3 linked regions of the Mytilus edulis genome follow. The protein of the gene in region 3 interacts with the protein of the main gene of each other region in a pairwise test. Links are inferred from orthologs where the notes say so. Each region holds a gene or a part of one and is shown on either strand. Other genes may lie near its edges.

Region 1 (7,822 bases), on a different chromosome or scaffold from region 3:
ATCAGATATTTTGTATTGTGACGTCAATATTTCTGGGAACCTGTGTGATGTCCAGTAATTGCAGACAAATAGCAATTAGGTGTACCTTTTGCTTTGATGCCTTATGTTGATAGTTCAAAGCAAAAAAGTGTAATAGCCTTTATGGAGGGTGGTAAAGTGTTATTTCCGTGCAACATGTTTTGCCATTTTTATTAAACGTGCAGCTGTGAAAAACATTCGTTATTCACTGTGTTTCAGGGCTTCCAAAACGGTCATATATTCCGGTCATTTGTATAATGTCTGGTAAAAGTCCGGCTGGGCAAAGCATGAAACGGTCATATACTTTTTAGTTTTCAAGGCTTTTTCAGTCATTTTTACATAATTCACTATCTTTTTGACCCAACCTTTTGCCTTTAACATCAACACATTTCCGATTATATATCATGTAAATGTGACATGATGATTAATTACTATCAAAACAACACCTACTTCAATACTTTCTAATTTTAATCAAGGCTAATTAGTAGTTGGACAGCTGAAATCTACCTGTTCAGGTGACAGGTGAACTATGTTCAGTACCAGACATCGTATAAATTGATCGGTTTATTCACAATTACTTTCTTACATTTCAGCAGTTTGTATCTAATTGATTTAGTCCAAAAGATTAAAATTATTAGAAATTAGTTTATCAACATGATTTGATGAAAAATTTAAAAAGGTTTTAAATGAAAAATCGTCAGAAGTATTTTGTTGAAGAAATAACGTGGAAAGAGCTTCTTCTCTTAGTTGTGCTTTGTAAACGTACACGAATTTTACGTATTCGTTTATGGTCCATGTTTTACCATTGTCAAGTCAACATCCGATTAAAACAATGTGAAAACGAAAGTAAAGTTTTTGACAACGTCATTTTGCACAAATAAAAAGTCTAAGGCAGATATGAGCACGCTATTGTGCATGTTTTGAACGATGCACTGCCAATTTAACAGTTACATCAGTCAGAGATATAACTCTATAGGGTTATTCCAGGAAATAACTTGCGTTTGTTATCACAGATACTTGCACCTTAAATTTTCTAAATCTCTAATAACATATGCTTGTTATTTGTAAAATTATTTCATTTATAGTGGGCTCTAGCTATATATATAGGGAACTCTTGAGACTTTGGCAGAAACTAAATGCATAGTTTTGATAACAAATTTTTTAATTAAATTAATACATTTTTGATGGACCATGGTAAATCAATGAGTCGAGGCTATTAAGGGATAAACTTAGCTGTGATAACAAGGCTTAGTTATTAAAGGAATGTAACTTATTATATAAGACACTTGGGAATTACTGAGAAACTTACACCTTGTAATTAAGCATGATGTATGTCTGAGCAAATGCTTTGAAGTGATATAGAGAAGCTGTGATAACACCCTTTAGTTATTACAGGCATATTTTTTCTGTAATAACATATAGGTGTACTATGCAAAATTGGCAAACTATCAACTGTTATATCTTTAAATAGTTAAGTATACATATAGAAAAAAAGTAATATCAATAGAACTTTTATACATTTTAACTAAACTAATGATGTATATTGTCCCTTTCAGGGATCTCCATGGATGAAAATTGAACGATGGAGGAACTTTCACCATTACAAACTGTGTCTACGCTGTACAGTGTAGCGAGATCGAAAGTATTTTATCCCTCCATACAAGGAACGGTGAACATGCTAAATCATTGCTTATTTAAATTATATTTATTTGAATTTTCATTATAGAATTAGAAGTATCTATATTTTCATTTTTTAACATTTTTGAAGGCTTTGAAACATGTTATCACAGTTCTTTGATTTTTTAGTTCACACTAACAAATGTATGTTATTTTCCTGTAATAACCATATAGAGTTATATCCCTGACTGTACATCAGAACATCAAATTCATATCATATCAAAGTAAAGTTTAAAATCGTTTTTTTTAATGTAATGTAATGTCAATCATTGGAATGGCCATCTGATTACCATAATTGCCTTTTGTGAGTAAGTCTTAAGGGATTAAAATCGGGATCAGATATGAAATGTCCGGCTGGGTCAAATATTTTTTGGAAGCCCTGCCGTGTTTCATGAAATCGGTAAAAAGATCAACGTGCAAGCAATTTTTAATCATTTGTTCATTGTGAAATTTTATTTCCCGTTCTTCCGTGCAGATACCCCCTTCTATATAGGCTTCATAATTATTTGGACATATTTGGCACATTACATTTTAAGAAAAAAGGGGACGTCACATAATTTTTGATGATATAAATACCCTTCTTTCGAAACATTCACAAACATGTTAATGACAGCATAATCCACACTGACCATAGAAATGGTGTATAATTTAAAATATTGTCAACAGTGAGACTATGAACATGATTGCATTTGGTTTACTTACTGTACCAATAGCCAGGGGGAGTTTGAGGGGTTCGGACGAACCCCCCCCCCCCCCCCAAATCAAATAAGCACTGTTCAAGTCAAAGTTTTGTTCAAATTGTGACTGTTAAAGTCGAGTTCGATTTATTCGTGATAATGTATATATTTTAATTTAATGTAGCATCATGTGTTTTACTCTTTTGAGTGTGTACGACGTTAGACTAAGTTGATATGACAAGGCACATGAATTATTCGTCAAAATAGTCATTCGCAACAATCAACCGTTTTCTGTGTTTCATAAATACTTACCTAATAATAACAATTTTACTTCTCTCGCTGCTTTTTCGCCATCTGCACGAAGTGTTTTGTCAATTTGTTTTGATCTTTCCGATGCGGCTTTGTCGTCGGAAGAAGTAGCACACCCCATAGTTTATTTGTAATGTTAATCCAAAAATTACACCATAAATTATATAATAAATCCAATGAACCAAAAATATGTGTGAAAAATGATAAGAAACACCCAAATTTTAAGAAAACTTCCTGTAAATCGTTGACATTTTCATCGGTTGTCTGATGCTTTTTGAATAAACTCCCCGGATGTGGACGGGCACCTTGTCGAGACTTGAACGAGATTAGCTTTTTAACATAATTATATGGACTTTCTCAAAACATGTTTTTTTATGTCTGTTATTTTTATTAGACATGTCTTTTATTTTTCGATCAATAAGTTATATCAGAGACATATTCTGGTTATAAATGGAGACTAGAAAATATTTTTTATTCATTAAATCCGTATCTTTCAAATTTACCTGCAAATTTTAGTATTTCCTCTTTCTGGGACTATTAAACTAACTATAGTCCCAGCTCTTTTTGATATGGCGTCTATCTATGATGGGCATTGATCATTGGAGGGTCATAACTAATTTTCTCGTGTACTAGCAAAAAACTTGTTGAAAATGCTATAATTAAAATTGAAAAAGCGATATTAAATATTGCAAATGCTCTTTTCGATGATGAAAAATTCTCTTTTCAATATTCCAAAAATCATTTAAGCGTAGGTTTTTTCGCGTTTTGTGTAATAAAGCATTTGCGATAAATCATAAGTATTTGCGATGATTAATATAATATTCGCAGTGATAGATACAGCACTCATAATTTGCTTAATCATGCCTACTGAAGTAATAAAAAAACCTTAAAACTTATAATTTTTTGTCACAGGATTTGCTGTCATAATATATACTTTTGAAACCCAAGGTATCAATAGAAATGCAATATATATATATATATCGCTTAATTTAATTTGATCTATGACATTGAACATTTCGTCAATTTTTTTTACTTTATAGTTTCTGCACCTGAGATCACCCCTAGTTTTTGGTGGGGTTCGTGTTGTTTATTCTTTAGTTTTCTATGTTGTGTCGTGTGTACTATTGTTTTTCTGTTTGCCTTTTTTATTTTTAGCCATGGCGTTGTCAGTTTGTTTTAGATTTATGAGTTTGACTGTCCCTTTGGTATCTTTCGTCCCTCTTTTTCTGCCCACGGCTAGCTTCTTCTTAATTCTCCACAAACTGTAGAAAAGCTTACATTTTTATCATGGATCCACTTATAGATCATGCAAAAATGTTTACTTATATATGTGAATAATTATTGATTTAAATCTTTATATTATATTTTGTTATCTTTTGTAGATTTTTATGCCCCACCTACGATTTTAGAGGGGCATTATGTTTTCTGGTCAGTGCGTCCGTTCGTCCGTCCGTTCATCGTACCGTTCGTCCGTTCGTTTGTCCGTCCGTCCCGCTCCAGGTTAAAGTTTTTGTTCGAGGTAGTTTTGTAATGAAGTTGAAGTCCAATCAACTTGAAACTTGGTACACATCATGTTCCATCTGTTATTATCTTTGTAATTTTAATGCCAAAATACATTTTTACCCCAATTTTACGGTCCACTGTACACAGAAAATGATAGTGCAAGTGGGGCATTCGTGTATTATGGGGCATCCGAGTACTATGGACACATTCTTGTTGTTATTGCTTTTACTATGATTGGAACTTTTGTATTTTATAGCCTGCCTACGTGCATATTTTAATTCTTTCCGAAATGGGGAAACCCCTATTTTATTTTAGTTTATATTTGGCATTTCTATGATAAAAAATAATATAACGCGCAACACAGATTACGCAAAAGACTATATATCCTACAAATCTAAACTTACGACATCGCATCAAAATTAAAAAGAACTGCCAAGTTGATATTATCCTTCATAGTTTTTGCAATCTTAGCTTTATTTGGAAAAATTGAACCATAATGGCTACTAAAAGCGAATTATCATGTCACTATATATATTTCACTTTCATTACTGATTAAACGAAAACTTGAAAAATAATACTTTAGGGTTTTCATATATCTCGTAGCTAATGGTCCCTTAAAATGCATATTTAAGAATTGAATGCTTCTTTTTGTAAATTTATTGGGGTGTAAAAGCGTTGACCGAAGTACATTTTGTATGAAGCGCGGAAGCGCTTCATTCTAAAAATGTACGCACGGTCAACGCTTTTACAACCCTATAAAGTTACAAAAAGAAGCATTCAATACTTATAATTACATTTTTTTAGCTATGATCAAGAAAAAACGAATTTTATATTGTTTTTATTTAATTCACCTGTGCACTTTATTGTGGGACCACGTGTTATCATGAATGAAAAGTTTTATTGAGTGATACAATTGCTTACGGAATAACACGTGATGTGCTGTTAGCTAATCAGAATAAAGTATTATAATGAAACATACATCTAATGTAATTATTAGTCAATACTGGGCAATAATTAAAATGATAAATGAAAAATAAATAAATAAAATAGCCTCCACTAGACCAGGGTGAGACGAGAGCAAGGTACGTTCAAAGTGGAAAGGGATCAAGTTAATATAAATTGCAACACTTGTTTCCCAATCCACTATAAATAAATATGTTTAAATTAAATTAAGGTTCGTTCATATATTTTTCATTGTTTTCTCTTCAAAAATGTCTTACAACTACTAGTAAAATAAGACATGATAAATTACTTCAAAAAAGTTTATCTCGTGAGATAGCACGAGACTACCATAACACATAATCTCACATTTTGTTTTACAGCTGAGACTATATGTCTTTCCTTTTTTAATGTGTTATAGTAGTTTCGGGTCGTCCGTGTAAATTAAGTTCGGAAACTACTTTTCGAGACATATATAATTATATAAATACCCATCAAACTAGGTGAACATTTCAACACGGTAAAGAAACCACATAATATTGGAGGAAAATTGTCTTAAACTTGTCTTAAAATCGTCTTGTGTCCAATTTCATTCCATAGATCTTTATTATTTTAACGGTCTAAGTTAATATTTGTTACTTAGAAAACCTCTTTGAATTATGTATGTTGTAAAAACGAAGTCTGTGACAATATTATAATTTAATTCATTTTAAATGGAAATTTATTTATCAACAACATAGAGCTTTCAAATAGAAATGAGATTAGAGATTTGAGGATATTCCAATAAATGCATCTGTCCCAGCGTTGATATTATATTTCCTTGGCGGGTTTCATCTAATGAAGGGCGTATGTTAGTTATACGTCCCGGCTTGATCTAATGAATTAGATAGCATATATGACATATATCATTATTTCATATCCGTTGAGAATAAGATTCTCTTATTGGATTAAAAGAGGTCACATGACATTCATTATTCTTCAGTAATAAATTCCATCGGTCATTAACAGAAAAAAACGGACCAGAAAACCGGTCGTTAACGAACTTTTACATGATAATGACCGGTGGGGCGTGGTTTCCGTCTGATAATGACCGTTGGGGCGTGGTTTTCGTCTGATAATGACCACTGGGGCGTGATTTCTCTGTTAATGACCGGTGGGGCGTGGTTTCTCTGTTTAGAGAGATGTACCTTTTATAAAACATTTTCCTGTTTTTAATATTATATTTAGGTTGTTGAATTATTTATTATATGTTTTCGTTAATTATAAAATTCAAGATAACTTGATTAAGTATTTATATACTGAAAAATTGCACTAAAATGAATGGCAGTATTACTACGACTGGTCTTCACTGTTTGCCATAGAAATCGTGCAACTACTCGAGTTCGCTGTAGGCATTTTTAATTTATGAGAATTTTCCAAAACATGGTTTCTCAATGAAATAAACATACTAGTTCTTAAAAAAATAGTCATTATCGTGATACATGGACTGCCCGTAGGACAGTCCATGTATCACGATAATAACCAATTTTTCAAGAACTATTATATAAATAAATATTCTTCATAGGTCCACTTTTTATCGTCTAACTTTGCTTATTATTTTAAAATTCATATACATTTATCTATTACAAGATATTTCTCTCTCTCATCATTACCACTTTGTCATATTTTTAATTTAAGTATCAAAAAATGTATTTTTCCATCTTCATTTAAACTGGCAAAGTCATACCAGTTTATAAGAACAAAGGCTCAAAACAAGATGTTTTTTAATTACAGACCAATTGTAATTTTACCACTCATTTCTAAAATCCTTGAAAAACATGTGAAAACACACTTAGTAAAATATCTTAATAAACACAACTTATTGTATAGAATGCAGTCAGGCTTTCGTGCAAATCATTCTTGTCAAACTGCGTTAACAGCTTTAATAGATAAGTGGCTTAAAGCCATTGATGATGGCGATCTTGTTGGGGCAGTTTTTCTAGATCTAGCAAAAGCCTTTGATCTTCTCAATCATGAACTGCTTATTCAAAAATTAAACAAAATTAATACAAATTTGCTTATACTTCATTACGCTGGTTTACATAATATTTGGCTGACAGATATCAGAAAGTATCTATTTCAAATCAGTGACATTATCAGACGTACAAAAACAAAAAACGGGTGTACCTCAAGGATCCGTATGAGGACCGGTGTTGTTTTTAATTTTATTAATGATCTTCCTTTGTCTAATCCTAATCATAACACCGATGTATTTGCTGATGATAGCACCATATCAGTCATTGGTTAAAACAAAAGTTGCATCAGTCAAAAACTTAATACGGTTTTACAAGATATTTTTCGCTGGTGTGAGGACAATAAAATGGCTGTAAATGTATCTAAAACAAAAGCTATATGCATTGGATCTAAACAAAAGCTTTCCGTTACATCAAATGAAAACATTAATCTTGCTTTAAATGGACAACAAATTATAGAAAGTACATGTGAAAAGGTTCTAGGTATTTTTATTTATGCATCTCTTTCTTGGTCTTCTCATATCGATTCTATAATAAAAAACAGTTAACTCTTCTTTAGCTTTACTAAAAAGGATAAAGAAATATTTAAATCACAAAGCTAGACAAATGTACTATAACGCTTACGTTTTACCTCACTTAGATTACTGTTGCTCAATGGGGAAACTGTAATAACTTTCTATTAGATAG
Region 2 (7,351 bases), on a different chromosome or scaffold from region 3:
CGACAAAGCCTGTTTAAATATGCGGCAACTTGCTACCATCCAATGTAAAAATCGATCGCTTCGTTGTGCAGATATCTTTTCTGTTATGGGGGTTACTAAGTGACGTCAGTCCGCGCACGGGCTTTTAATACATTAATCCGCAGCCTCCGTTGCTAAAAATGCATAAAAATCAATGTCAACTTTTTGTCTTTAAACTGTTAATCGAATATTAAACACGCGTTTCTTCAGTATACCTTGGAAATCTTGTAGCATACAAAATGAATTGTCTGTAGATAACATCAGCAGACGAACACAGGTAGCTGATGATGCTGATTGGGCGGTGCCACTGCCTGTGAAATCAATTTTCTAAGGCGATGTCTATTTATGCGTACATTTTCACGTGTAAATATATGGAAAACTTAATGAGAGAAAAATGTTATGTCTCTACAGCTGGTGGAAATAATTTAATTGTGTGTTTGGTCATTAAAACTAGTTGACAGATGCCGCAGATCGATAAGTTTAATAAATGTAGAACTAACGCCACCTGGTGTTAAATGCAATCTACTAATTGATGAATGAACACAATACATGAATGGATAATTAATAAAAAGGTGTGACTATCGCATTTGATCTGACAGAAAATTAGTTAATTATAAGAATTTTGTTTTTAAAATCGTAATGTTTTAACACTCAATTTAACTTTCCATAATTTGGAAGGTCGCATATAAGTAAAAGTAAGTATACTGAGTATATACCACAGCAGTGGTAAGAAACGCTTAGGCGACAGTAAGCCTTATTATGCCTTATTTGGAATAAAGTATTGTACTCTACCAGTTAAAGTGACATACAATCCTCCTTATTAACTATTAAAAACTAAGTTTTTCTGAAATAACGAGGACACACAGGTATACGTAACAAAAGATATATTTCCTTATTTATAAATCTAAAAATAGGTCCCTAAAAACGAGAGATCTTTGACGCAATTATAGAGAAAACTCACATTTGGCATTTTGAAATTTCGTACTCGGATCAGAAAGACGCATCAAATTTACGGTACCTCGAATTAGGTAAGATTCCCACGAGCCTTTGATTTACAAACAAGCTATATTTTCATGTAAATATAGAAATGTTTAACGTCAATAAATATATTGATAAAAACCTACTTATCCTTGGGAATGTTTGGACCCATGGCCAGATGATACACATATTTGACAGAAAACTGGAAAGGATAAAAAGAAGAGTAATGCATGCAGTTTTATAAAATATTAATCTGTACTGACCCACAAAGTAGTTGTTTTTTGTTGTTGTATTAAATTCTTACATTTTAAGGGTGCATTTTAAAATGTCAATAAATGAACGCAAATTTTTAGTGTAGAAAAAATATAAAAACTAAGAATATTAAAGTATAAAAAACAAAACCTTTAAGGCAAGATTTCATAAGATTAATCAAGAATTTTGATGCTATGCAACAAACAATGTTAAAAGATATTTTTCTATTTAAATATTCTATATTATAAAATTTAGAAATTATTCTAAATTAAGAAATGTATCTCCCCAGGGGCGGATGCAGGAATTTTCGAAAGGGGGGGGGGTGCTAACCCAGGGCAAAGGGGGGTGCAGGGGGTGCAAAACATATGTCCCGATACAAATGCATTGATCGGCAAAAATAAAGGGGGTGCGCACCCCCAGAACCCCCCCCCCCCCTGGATCCGCCACTGCTCCCTCATACTTGTCCAGTTTTTGCAATACTTTTGTATTGGGTTTTGGACTTTTAAAATAATATGGCATCGAGTATCAACGAAGAGACATTAATTTTCGAAATGTGCATCTGGTGCAATAAAAATTGGGACTGTTAATGTTATTTTTCCGTGACAATAGCCATGTTTCCCTAAAATTTCATTACATCATCAACAAACTAACATGAAATGAATATATGGGAATCTTAAGATATTGTCGTGGCAAAACTAATTTTATGCTTATAGATATTTTAAATATGTCTTGATATCCTTAAATAACAGGCTTAACCACAGATTTAATTCGTTTGCAACCATGCTAACACTGTTCATTAAATGTAAAATTAATGAAGGGGAAAGAAATGTTTATTTTGATGTAATATAAAATTAAAACTGGAGTTTTATTACCTACAAACAATTGATATAAGATATGTTTCCATTTAACATAATTTTGAAATTCCAATGGCAATAGATAAAATGTAAACCATGCAAACACATTCAAACACATTCAAAACTGATAAATGTACTGATCACAACTTGACGCCGACGCTACCGGAAAGTACCGACCTGAATAAAACTGAATTTTGAACCAGTCAACACAATTTTCAAGCAAATAATCTTTTAACTGATTTAGTAATAGTTGCTTAACATTTTAAGCTGATATTAAATATTGTATGCGTATTTAGGACGTTTACATGTTATTCACATACAACACGGTTGTCTTGCACTTTAGTTAAAGGTGACAGTTTGCAGAAAGACCAGGTATCCTAAACTGACACCCAGATATTCCCTCTTCTGTGTCCTTTGCAAAGCGGAGAGTCATTATTTAAACTGTTGTCCCCTTTAACGTCCATCATAGAATGGCCAGGACCACATCATTAAATAATAGATTGACTTTTCAGTCATTTTCGGGTATATGCGATTGTTTAGTTTAGTAATTTCGAATAAGGTGCTGTACACCTATATATGCATGGTATTTGGTAAACCCGTATTCTTTATTTGATTGATTCCAGACTATCTTCATGACTAAGGCAACTGTATATAGGGTAGGCGCTTAAATTATGTATAACGATTCTGTTCACACCCGGGATCAGACCCATGACCTCCCGCACTCGAGGTGAGCGCGCTACCGAGGCGGTTAAAAGACTCCCCCTTAAAAACATCCAATTTATTGATTGGTGTCTGGGCATATTTTTTTTATCCTTTTTATATGATATTTATGATACAAAGACTGATACAAACCTACCACTGATCTCTAATGCCCTGTTCATTTTCTTCTATTAAATTAGCACAGACAATTTACTAGCTTGATTTGATGTATTGTGGACATGAAAACTACTCACTTATAGGTGTCCGTACCTGTTGAAAAGATCTAAATACGTAAGCGAAAGTTTTATTTTGATTCGGTTCACATATAACAATGCATCTTATCTTTCTGCTATTATAAATTTTAAAAAATTATCATCAAAGAATAAAAAATAAGCCGGGTCTATCATCTTATATGGATTGATTGATGAATTGATATTTGCTTTACGTCAAGTGGCAAATATTTCGTGCATATTTATGACTAGAACACATTAATGCAATACTGGTAACATCTGCAAAATATCGGGTCGACAAGATAAATATTTTGTTTGTTTTCAGCTAAACGTCCAGTGGAAAATATTACATGCATGTTCAGGACGAGCACAAATCATCAAAATAACAATATGTACGTCCTAAAATAGGATGTCTACCGGGTAAAATGCGTGAAATTTTAATTGTCTGGATAATGTGAGTATCTTGGATAGGGACAGACATTTGCCTTGTAGCAGATTGCCAACGGACCCCACAAAGAGTAAACACCTTAGTCCTTTTGGGATTCGGAGTCCTGAGCAATGTTCAGCAATGGCTGCAATGAACATTACATTGAACAACAAATCGGAGGACTTAACTTGTTTGTATTGGGGATACCTAAGCTTCACAAAATTCCGTACAAACAACGGTACATTGCCGGCTCACCTGCATGTTCCACTAAATAATTGTCCATTTAAATTCTGTCTGCAGTGAAAGAGGGTCTTTGAAATACCGTGAAACTGCTTTCTCGCGTAGTGGTATTAACCATATGTGGATTCTTAAAGTGTTTGTTAACAGTGAACAAACGGGTAAAATATGCTACACAGAAGAACAAGTTTTTTTTTATCGACAACATATTTGTTGAATTTAGAGGTAGACTTTTTCTACAAATAGTCGACATTCCCATAGGAACGACTTGTGCGCCTCTCCATGTCGACCTCTTCTTGTTTTCATATGAATCGGAGTTCCTTCAAACACATGTCAAAAACCAGACCCAAGAAGCCAGATTATCTAATTTCACTTTCAGATATATTGATGATGTTCTTTCCATTAACCATCCGAACTTTTCTGATTGGGTTCCATTAATATATCCCCCAGAACTAGAAATTAAAGAAACAACAGACACGGCCTCCTCCGCCTCATTTTTAGACTTGTACCTCGAATTTTACATACACAGTCATCTCAGTATTAGAATCTATGACAAACGAAACGATTTTTAATTTTGAAATTATCAATTTCCCCCACCATAGTAGCAATATACCAACTCCATCTGCATATGGGATATACATTTTCCAACTTATTCATTCGATATTCAAGAGCATGTTGCTCCGACTCAGACTTTGTAAAACATCACCAGTGTCTGAACAGAAAGTCATATAGTGATTAACCAGGGGTGCGCCAAAGAACGTTTCGTCCTTTTTCTAAAAAAAAAAGTTCATCGGAAGGTACCAAGACCTAGTTGATAAATATTCCGAATAAACTTCACACATAATACATGATGGTCTAGGTGTGTAGATTTTAGGTACTGACGTTGTTTATCATCTTAATAACGTGTTAAATTGTTGTTTTAGATGTCCTTGTTCTATTATTAATATCAGTTTTACAGTTTGGTTGGTTTTGGTGATATTCATTTTACGTGACTCGGTACTTATGCATCCATCCCGTCAATGTATTGTTTGTATTGTCTTTCATTTTTGCTGGTGTACTTTGTACGTTTAACTTTTTGTGTTTCTTTGGTACATACGACGTGGCTCTGTACTTTTAAACATCCCGCCATTATGTTATTGTTCTATTATAATTTTGAAAAAAACTTTGAACGACAAAAATATTTTGTATCTCTAACTGTGTGACGTTTACATTCTGACGTATAACACGCGATTCTACACCAGAGTTGATGTAAACCTAGCCATTCAGTCACAGGTCTTCGAATACTTCAATGTTCATGGGTTGATTTAAAATACAAAAATAAGTAAGCAATTAACGTGGTTGTGAATTTGATATATGCTTTTTTGTGCTTCTTTGTTAAATATTTGTTTGTTTTTGTTCTGATTTAGATTGTGACACGGTGATAACTGCTGTACCCCTATTTTGACAATTTTACCTATAATGTCTGTTTTGTTCACGCATTGTTGTAAATATAATGGAATTTGATGCGACTGTCAAACAAGTGAGAGGGTTAGCGGTATAAAACTAGGTTCAATCCACTATTTTAGTCTACATGTGAAAATGCCTGTACCAAGTCAGGAATATGAGTTATTGTCCATTCGTTTGATGTGTTTTATCATTTGATTTTTCTAATTGATTAGGGTCTTTCCGTTTTGAATTTTCCTCGGAGTTCAGTATTTTTGGGATTATATTTTTGCCTAGAAAAATCGCTCCGGACTCATAGAGTTGCTGCAAGAGTATTTAGAGTGCAGATTGCGCGACACTCGATGTATTCGATTTAACGTCCCCAAGTTCTGACCGGACGTAGGTTCGAATTTATTAATCCCACAAAGCCAACCGAAAGTCCAACTTTAACAAGCGTTTTACTAACTATCTGAAGAGGAACACAGAAAAATCATTTTTTCTACACATTCAACCCCTTTGGGTCCCGGATAAACGTCGAGGATGTCGCCTGCCACTGTAATATATGCACATTTATTGGAAAGGGGTATTGATGTCGCCTTTCAACGAGTTATTTGCTGACCCCTCAAAGGCATTGCACATTCCCATCAAGAACCATAGGATTAAGCATCCCCATTCAAACCAGACGTGGCTTTTCTCATCACTTGGCGTCCGTCGTCGTGAACTTTTACTAAAACCTTCTCCTCTGAAACTACTGGGCCAAATTTAACAAAACTTCGCCACAATCATCATTGGGGTATCTAGTTTTAAAAATGTGCCCTATGACCCGACAAACCAACCAAGATGGCCGCCATGGCTAAACATAGAACATAGGGGTAAAAATAATGTAGATTTTGGCTTATACATGTATCTCTGATAACAAAGCATTTAAAGCAAATCTGACATGGGGATATTGGGAATAAACTCATCATAGATACCAGGACTATTTTTTTTATATACACCAGACGCGCGTTTCGTCTACAAAAGACTCATCAGTGACGCTCGAATGCAAAAAAGTGAAAAAGGCCAAATAAAGTACGAAATTGAAGAGCATTGAAGACCAAAATTCCTAAAAGTTTTCCCAAATCCATGGGATAAATTGTTTAACAGGTTAAGATCTATTTGCCTTGAAATTTTCAGATGAATCAGACAACCTGTTGTTAGGTTGCTGCCCTTAAATTGGTAACTTTAAGGGAATTTTGCCGTTTTTGGTCATTATCTTGAATATTATTATAGATACAGATGAACTGTAAACAGCAATAATGTTCAGCTAAGTAAAATCTATAAATAAGTTAACTTGATCAAAATGGTCAGTTAACCTTTTAAGGAGTTATTGCCCTCTATAGTCATTTTTAAACAATTTGTCGTAAATTTTTGTAATCTTTTTCAAAAATCTTCTTCTCTGAAACTTTTAAGACAAATTTAACCAAACTTGTCCACAATCATCATTAGGTTGTCTAGTTTAAAAATTGTGTTTGATGACCCCGCCCCTGTACCAAGATGGCCGACATGGCTAAAAATAGTAGAAAGGGTAAAATGCAGTTTGAAACCAAAGCATTTAGAGAAAATCTGATAGGATAAAATTGTTCATTAGGTTAAGATCTATCTATCCTACAATTTTCAGACCATTCAGGCAACCCGTTGTTGAGATGCTGTCCCTGAATTGGTAATTTTAAGAAAATTTTGCAGCTTTTGGTTATTATCTTCAATATTATTATAGTTACAGATATACTGTAAACAGCAATAATGTACAGCAAAGTAAGACCTAAAAATAAGTCAACATGACCAAAATGGTCAATTGACCCCATACGGAGTTATTGCCCTTTTAACAATTTTCATAAATTTTGTAAATTTTTTACAAAATATTATCTACTGTAACTACTGGGCCTTGTCATTATAGATAATTGAAAGCAGCAAGAATGTTCAGTAAAGTAAGATCTACAAATGCATGCAGCGGATTACAAGCATTTAACAAGCAAACATTCTTAAACTAATAACTAGTCATATACTCATGCAGGAAGACCAGTCACAGTACTTTTTATTTACTCTTTACTTTGAACTGCATGCTAACGTGGGGCGACCGTATAAAAGTGCGAATGTACAAGTACCCAGCCACGTATGGCCAGAATACGATGCTCCGTGTAGAGATAGTGTCATGCATATTTACCCCCCTCTATCCAGGTTGACCCATGACTTGC
Region 3 (7,926 bases):
CAAATGAATAGGTCAAGACTACCTGAATTGTACAAATAAATACCGTAGAAAGGCTTGTATATTTCTCACTGGTACATAGTCTGAATCCGGGTCCGTTCGCGCCCACTCATGTTCGCCCCTTTCACTTTCACACCCTACATGTTCGCACCCAATCTTAATTGGTTTTGTGTTTAATAACTCTGTAAGCAAGTGTTTTCTTATAAGTATAATTGTTGTCATTGTCTCAAAATAAAGTGAGACAGCATTTTTTTTTGTGTTGAATAAATCTTAATCATGTTTTAGATAGCGTATTGTTAAAAATTATAATAATCCTTTCTAAATAAAGTGGTATTTTGTCAACGTTTTATTTTGTGTTGAATTACTCTTAATCATGTTTTGGTTGCTTTGTTTTGGTTATAATAGTGGATTGCTATATTTTGGTTCCTATATTTTATTGTTTCGTTGTTTCAGATCAAAGGGACCAAGCTGTTAAAAACAATTATCTTTTGTGTTTTTCCTTTAAAATCTTCAATGTTTTACTCATACCAAGCTATAAATACATTCAGTATTAACACCAAAGCAATTTAAAACAACAATCATGATTTTCCAATTATTCAACTTGAATTTGAATTAAAATTGGGCGCGAATGAGTAGAGTGCAAACGGACCTTGGGTGCGAACGTGCGAGGTGCGAACGTGTAGGGTGCGAAAGTGTATTGGGCGGGAACAGACATGATACCACATAGTCTGAACCCCCTTCTCCCACAAAATATTAAGTAAATAATCTTTTTGTTACTGTTATCAAAGGTCTTATGAAACTCAGGTAATTTCAAACATTTGTCAAAGAATTCTAGTCAAACCGGCACCTGGTTAAATTGGCACCTGGACAAATCAGCACCTGGTTAAATCCACACCTGATATAGTCAATTCGTCACCCATGTTAAATATAAATTTTAACAGTATTTTAAGCAAAAAGAGTAAAAATAAGTAAGGGGTTGCCAGAATTTTTTTCAGTATTTAAGCAAAAAGAGTTAAATACTAACTTTCACATTTTTGGGTGTTCATGTACATTTTGTATATATTTATTTTTCTCAACTTAATGACTTTTTTGGTGTATTTTTAATGATATATATATGAGTAGTCAAAATAATTATTACGTCTGGCAAGGCTTTTTTAATTTTATTCTGGGACACCTTTCTATGACCGCAAGGCTATGTTAATTTTTTTCTGGGACGCCTTCCTACGAACTTCGTAGGAAGACATCACAGAAAAAAAATAAAATAGCCTTGCCAGACGTCATAATTATTTGGACTAATACATGAGATATTGGATATTTTTATGCATTATTTAAACCAGTTGAGCATTTTACAGGATTGTTTGTTTAATGCTTTTTAAACTTTACTGAAGAAAAAAAACACCTTAAATTTGCTTATTATTTGGCATGAAAGTTTGATTTATTGAAAGGGACTCATAGTTTTCCATTTTATTTTAATAATTGTCTAATTGTTAAAACAACAGCTTGGGTAAGGGCTTCGTTGTTTACCTTTATACACAACAACATAATTTCACTTTGGTTTCGTTGTTTACCTAACTTCACAACAACATATTCACTATGTACTTGGTAACAGTTATTAATTAATTGAATAGAAAATATTATAACAAATATTATTGGATGCCGAATTGACGTCAAATAGGTGCCGATTTGACTAGATGCCAATTTAACCAGGTGCCGACTTGACTTGTACGTTTCAATTCCTCTGCGATCGTTTGCGGTATTTTCTTGAGAAAAACATATTTTCCATCATCAAAGAGAAGAAGAAACTGCTTGAAAATGATTCTGGAACGCTTCATGATTGTTAAAATAAGTTAAATTCACTCAAAAAACAATTTTAAAACTTGCGATGTTTAAACAGGAAGTTTCAAAAGCACGTGTAAAAGAAGAAATTAACCGGTGAGAGTGGAAATCCGTACATAACAGATATCACTATAGTACGATTTGAAAGCAAAACAGTTCCATCCTTTTGTAAAACAGTCTTTAATATACCTATCACATTAATGTTTGAAGGGTCTTAAGCTTATTCAAACCATAAAAGTCGGTATGAAACACCAAAACGGAATGAACAATAACCGATTACGTTTTGTAGTTTACAAATTCTAAACTGGTTCCCGTCAAACTACAACACTTTGTTCGAGTGTAGTGGAATACAAGCAGAAACCAGTTAGTTTGTAAACTGGTTCCTGGCTGATTACTACACAATGACCTCTCATGCATAATGATAACACAAGCAAATTCCAGTTTGTATAGAAAATAGTAAATACGAAACCAAGCGCGGTAGGCAGAGAAATGCAATGAAGTTCAGGTCGCCAGTAATGGAACAATGACTGCGTCATTTTCCAAAAACTAGGGGTGATCTCAGGTGCTCTGATCTGCTTAAGCTTATTAAGCTTAGATCTGCTCCAAATTACATTTTGACGTCAAATCTTTTGAATTGTGATGTCAAAGTTACGGAACATAATGGGGGACAAATTAGTATATGAGTGTAAATATTTCTATTGTCGGCTTTGGTCAGGTCATGTTTTTTCAAAAGCATGTATTTATTTTTTTCTTCTATATTTTTTTCTCAAGTATAAAATTATGAGAGAATCTTATTATCATTATATTTCACAATGTTTCAAATTTGTTATTAGCATATTTTTTTTTTATTTTGGTTCTTTCATTGTTCTGTCAATAGGGCCAATCATCACTGTAACCCACAGATATCAAAATGCAGCTGTATGCAAATTTGGATTTCAATTTCACAAAAAAAAACAGACAAAAATATCAATTGCAATATATATTGATCTATAAATTAAATATACTATAATGAAGCGTAACTGTCAAATTGTGACACACATAAAAAACAAAGACATCTACAATTTGGGAATGACAACACCTAAATACCTACCATTTATATTTTTACCGACAATCTCCTAATCCTCTTAGTCTTTTTTTCCAGAATTGTTTAGATGGAGGGAAGTTTAATCATTTCTCGTAACAAACGAGATTAATGTAGATGGGATATTCCATATGATACTAAGGGGGGCTAGGTTCCTATATTAAATTCTTAATTTTGATGCTTATCTTTAGAATTAGGAAAATGTAATTGTAAGATACAGTTTGTTTTCATTATTAAACAAATATTTGCTTGTATATCAATTTGGTCTCGATATTTTTTTTTAAATATTTTGCCTCACAAATTGATACACCCCTTTAAAATTTCACACAACGCATTTTATACGATCCAATATGTCAGCGCCCATGAAAACTTAAAACTAAAAGAAAAGAAATACTGAGAAAATATTATTCAACTTAAGACATTAAAAGAAAGGATGCCAGTACTGATGGAAAAACAGAAAGATATTTTCTTTGTAAATAACCCTTTTCAAGTTAATATGAGGCAGGCATTACCTGTACTGAAATGGGGACGAAGTCTGTATGAATTGTTTTTTTGTAACTTAAATATTTGTTAAAAAAAAGAAACGGAAATACCGTAACGTTTCCGATTTTGGTTCTGTTGTTAGGGATTTTAGTTGTGACGTTATTTAAATTATGACGTCATATGCAATGTAAACAAAGAAACGCTATCATCAGGTAACGTTTTTTCATATCAAGGAATTATTAAAAATGAAATTGGTATTGCGCGTTCCTTCCTATTTTATACTAGACTGATAAATATATATTTTACTTAAAGTTTCATACAAACGAGACCGGAAAAAGGAAGTACATTTCTGCGCAGGTTCGGGATTTCAAAACACGACAAAAAAATTTGAACGATTTTGAGTTCATTAGTACAATGAAAAAATTTTTATTGAATTTTCTACTGTTATTGGGGACTTCGTCCCCATACAAGCGGTTGTTGGCACTTTTGAAACGACGACCACACTTTAGAAGTGTCTTTTTTTTTAAATTATGTATTTTACATTATCAATATGCGAGTTTCGAGTTACAAATTATCTACTGGCACACTACATACAGTGTGTCTAATCGGCAGCAGCGATTGCAGCTTTTACCATAGAGGTGACGGTAAAAAAAATAAATGTTCCGAATACAAATCAAAATAAAAAATTTGAAACAAATTTTAATGTCGTTACAAAACTGTTGGAAGACGGGTTCTTTAAAGAGAAAAAAAGATTAAAAGGGTAACTCATGAGTATAAACACCCCCTATAAGTATGCTGGCTTATTACTTGGTTTATTTTTAAATTGATAAAGCTATAGTTGCTAATGTTTACACTATCAACTCACTGAACAACAAATAACAGGCTATTATTTGAACTTGGAATTATTTTTAATTATGGAATTTGCATAATTTCTTGTGTTTAAAATTTTTAATAAATTCCATGTTAATGTGGTATTAAAATCTTTTTAGCGGTTAATAAAACTTTCCATACAATGTATTTTGGTTAGATAGTGTTGTGCGCGGCACAGTACATTCTATTGAAAATATAGTATTTTCTTTGTAATAGAAAGTGTTGTGCGCAGCACAGAGCATTTCAGTACAGAATAAACATGGAATTTATAAAAAAATTCAATAACAAGATATCAAGCAAATTCCATAATTAAAAATAATTCCAAGTTCAAATAATAGCCTGTTAAATGTTAATCGATAAAATAATTCATTGACCAAAAAAATAATAATTATTTATAATTAATTTAAACAAAATCATGAAGCGCGTTTTCTATGGAAGTCTTTAATGAATAAGGCAGTTCATGATTTTTATTTATCTTTAATAAAAGTATGAAATATATTTTTGGTATTGTTTGAAAATATTTTTTTTGTGGTTCTTTTTCTGATTATGATCAGCATTGTCTTGTTGTTTGCTAGCGTGCTACTGCGGTAGGTCGTGGGTTCAAACCCCGGTAGGTCAAACCAATGACTTATAAATTGGTAGAATAATGTGGCCAGGTAAAAATGTACATGTAGGTTGATATGTCTTCCAGCGGAATGTTTACAGATAACTTGTGATCACTTGTGACATTAGAACGTCAAAAATCCGGTTAAGTAACAATATTGATCTAGTCTTCTCTACCTATTCTTATGGTTAATGATTATGTATAATAAATATATCCTAATTGATGCTTATAACATGTTCTAGTCTTTAAGAAGCTTATAACTTGCTGTTGGACATAAATAAATATATATACATAAGAACGTGTGTTGAAGCTTTTCGATAGTACAGGTCACAGGAGAATCGGAAAGTTTTGATTGACCAACATAGATTAACTTTAATATGAAACTTGTTTTGTTACTCACTAGGCTAGCTAATATAAAACAAACCCGCATTTTTGTTATTTTTTTTTTGTTTTTTTATTTTAAATAGTAATGCTGAAATAAGCTTCTCCCGTTTCAGGCACCCAGAATGCCCCTTAAAAAAAGGCAAAAAAATTGGTCACCTCGCTCCGCTAGGCGATTTGCCTCACTTTAAATAGACAGGCGCTACGGCCTTGACATCTACATCTACATGGGTAATCCGTAAAGAGTTGGTTGACTCATCACACGAATGTGTTAAAGCTTTTATAACAGACACAACGATAGGCATACATTTACACAATATATATACAAAAAGGTGTGTAATAACAGAATAAAAAATTGGCAAATGGACTATTTCAGATTTTCAAAGATTTTCAAAGTCTTTTCAAAAAGGGAAATAGCTTGAATTGAATTATAGCAAAGAAAATAATCAGTCAGGGGACTTATTCAAAAAAGTGATTTTTAAATCACTTATTTGAGTAGCAAATTCAAAATTTTGTGTGATTTTGTAGTTTTACCAAAATTTTTAACACATAGGTTTAAATAATATCTTTTCATTAGTAAAATTGAAAAACATGAATTTTTTGCTTCTTTTTAGTAGCAAGGTTTATGCCTTTGATGCTATCATTTAGTTGCAAATTCTATTTTAGTTGAAAAAATGCTATAATGACGGCTTTAAATAATGAACTGATACTTTCTAAACAGATTTTCCCCAGCAGTGGGAGTATTTTTCCTGTAAAGTTCAAGGTTTCATCTTTCAGATTATGTAATAAAATTCTACTGTTCGCGATAAAAATTTCACTGTTCAGAGGTGTTGAAATTAGTGGGGGTTATCAAAATATGATATTTTGGAAGAAAATTGAGGTATGATACTTAAACAGATGATTTTTATGTCATTATCCTAGATTCAGTACAAGGTCATCACCTGAAATGACCTGATCATCCTAGACAGCACAGATGATTGTTCTGATAAGTTTAGAAACATAATTAGTCCCTGGATCATTAGTATTCTATATTTAAAGCTACAATGAAATTAAATCACTTAGTCTAGTGATAAATTTGTACTACTTAAATAGGTGATTATTAAAGAAAGACAACTCTTGCTTCCAACCTTTATGGAAATAATGTTACTTGAACCAGTGATTTAGAAAATCACTTATTTAAGTAAGTCCCCTGACTGATAATATAATATCAAAAATTGCAAATGTTTTAGTTTGGTTTTTTTTCTAGGAAGAAGATGATCTACCATATGAAGAAGATATTTTACGAAACCCATATTCTGTTAAATGTTGGCTTCGTTACTTAGAGTTTAAGAAACTAGCTTCAAGAAATGTTGTTAATATGATATATGAAAGAGCTCTGAAAGAATTGCCAGGAAGGTAAATGATTAACAATTAATAATATCATTAATTACTAATTACTTATATATCTTACTTCATACCCAAATCATTTTGGATAACAGGCAATTTTTTCATTCATGTTTTTAGCTAATTTGATGGTTGATTTCTCAATAAGAAGTTTGATATATTTTCGTTAGCAAAAAGAGTGAATAAATTATGTTGTTCATCTACTTAAAAATTATTAAAAAAAAAGTACATAATCTCTAAGCAAGACTTCAACTTATTAGACCTCTTAAGAAAACTTCAGTTGTAACAGTCTCTTGTGATATTTTGTTACTGAGAAACAACTGTAAATGGACAATTTGACATGTACTGTATACTCTTCATGTAATTTGTTTTCATATATTTGTATGACCCTTTATGACTACCTTTGTTTATTTACATTGCAGCTACAAATTATGGTACAATTATTTAAAACTACGGAGACGACAAGTGAAAGGGAAGTGTATAAATGACCCAGCCGTAGAGGATGTATGCAATGCCCACGAGAGGGCGCTAGTGTTCATGCATAAGGTATGCTAACTGGTGTTAATGAAATTGACAACTGTATTGAATGTGGAAGATCCTCAAAGAGGATTTTCTTTAACAAAAAATAAAAATTATTTTATTAAACGTTGAAGAGAAAGATTCTTACATAGTTACTTGTGGATTATTGGATATATCCAATCTTGATAGTTAAATTATAAATTTTAAAGTCCTCGCCAGGGTTTGACTTTAAAATTGATAATTTAACTATCTCGATTAGATAAATCTGATAATCTATTGATATCATTGTAAGAATCTATATGTTACTGGCATTTTATGAATTTGGGCATTTAGTGAAATGCCAGGGGGAAAATGTCTCCATGTATGATTCAGGCTTTTATCATGTTTATGAATTAACAAATAGTTTACAGCATTTTATAAAATGTCTAGAAAAATTGATAGACATTTAACAAAATGCCTGAAATCGCTACGTAAAATTGAGCCAATGAAATTAGAATAACAAAGAAGTTTATTTTTTGATAATTACTGAATGCAACACCATGCAAACATTTTATGTGAGAGGTTTAGCTAGCTTTAAATCCACCATTTTTTAACTTAAGAAAATGCCTGTACCAAGTCGGGTATGTGAAAGTATGTGAAAGCTGTTATCCATTCGTTTGATGGGTTTGAGCTTTTGATTTTGCCATTTGATTAGGGACTTTCTATTTTGAATTTTCCTCGGAGCTCAGTATTTTTGTGATTTTACTTTTAACAACCAATAATTGAATATACT

What was found.
Region 1: the proteins of G-protein-signaling modulator 2-like (region 3) and guanine nucleotide-binding protein G(i) subunit alpha interact in a two-hybrid assay, tested with the Drosophila melanogaster proteins (2 studies listed by BioGRID). The link is inferred for Mytilus edulis from reciprocal best matches to the Drosophila melanogaster genes pins and Galphai.
Region 2: the proteins of G-protein-signaling modulator 2-like (region 3) and guanine nucleotide-binding protein G(o) subunit alpha interact in a two-hybrid assay, tested with the Drosophila melanogaster proteins (3 studies listed by BioGRID, with this or other methods). The link is inferred for Mytilus edulis from reciprocal best matches to the Drosophila melanogaster genes pins and Galphao.

Annotation. Positions count from the first base shown.
Region 1 is NC_092344.1:74,223,367-74,231,188, forward strand, and holds the start of guanine nucleotide-binding protein G(i) subunit alpha, read right to left. Parts: upstream 3,026-7,822; 5' UTR 2,803-3,025; coding exon 2,685-2,802; intron 1-2,684. UniProt on the Drosophila melanogaster protein: Guanine nucleotide-binding proteins (G proteins) are involved as modulators or transducers in various transmembrane signaling systems.
Region 2 is NC_092348.1:39,849,480-39,856,830, reverse strand, and holds the start of guanine nucleotide-binding protein G(o) subunit alpha, read right to left. Parts: upstream 3,047-7,351; 5' UTR 2,984-3,046; coding exon 2,955-2,983; intron 860-2,954; exon of another isoform or gene 811-859; intron 535-810; exon of another isoform or gene 1-534. UniProt on the Drosophila melanogaster protein: Guanine nucleotide-binding proteins (G proteins) are involved as modulators or transducers in various transmembrane signaling systems.
Region 3 is NC_092345.1:1,970,652-1,978,577, forward strand, and holds the start of G-protein-signaling modulator 2-like, read right to left. Parts: upstream 3,034-7,926; 5' UTR 2,924-3,033; intron 1-2,923. Other genes in the region: pre-mRNA-splicing factor SYF1-like, read left to right, coding at 3,348-3,386, 6,499-6,647, 7,058-7,181.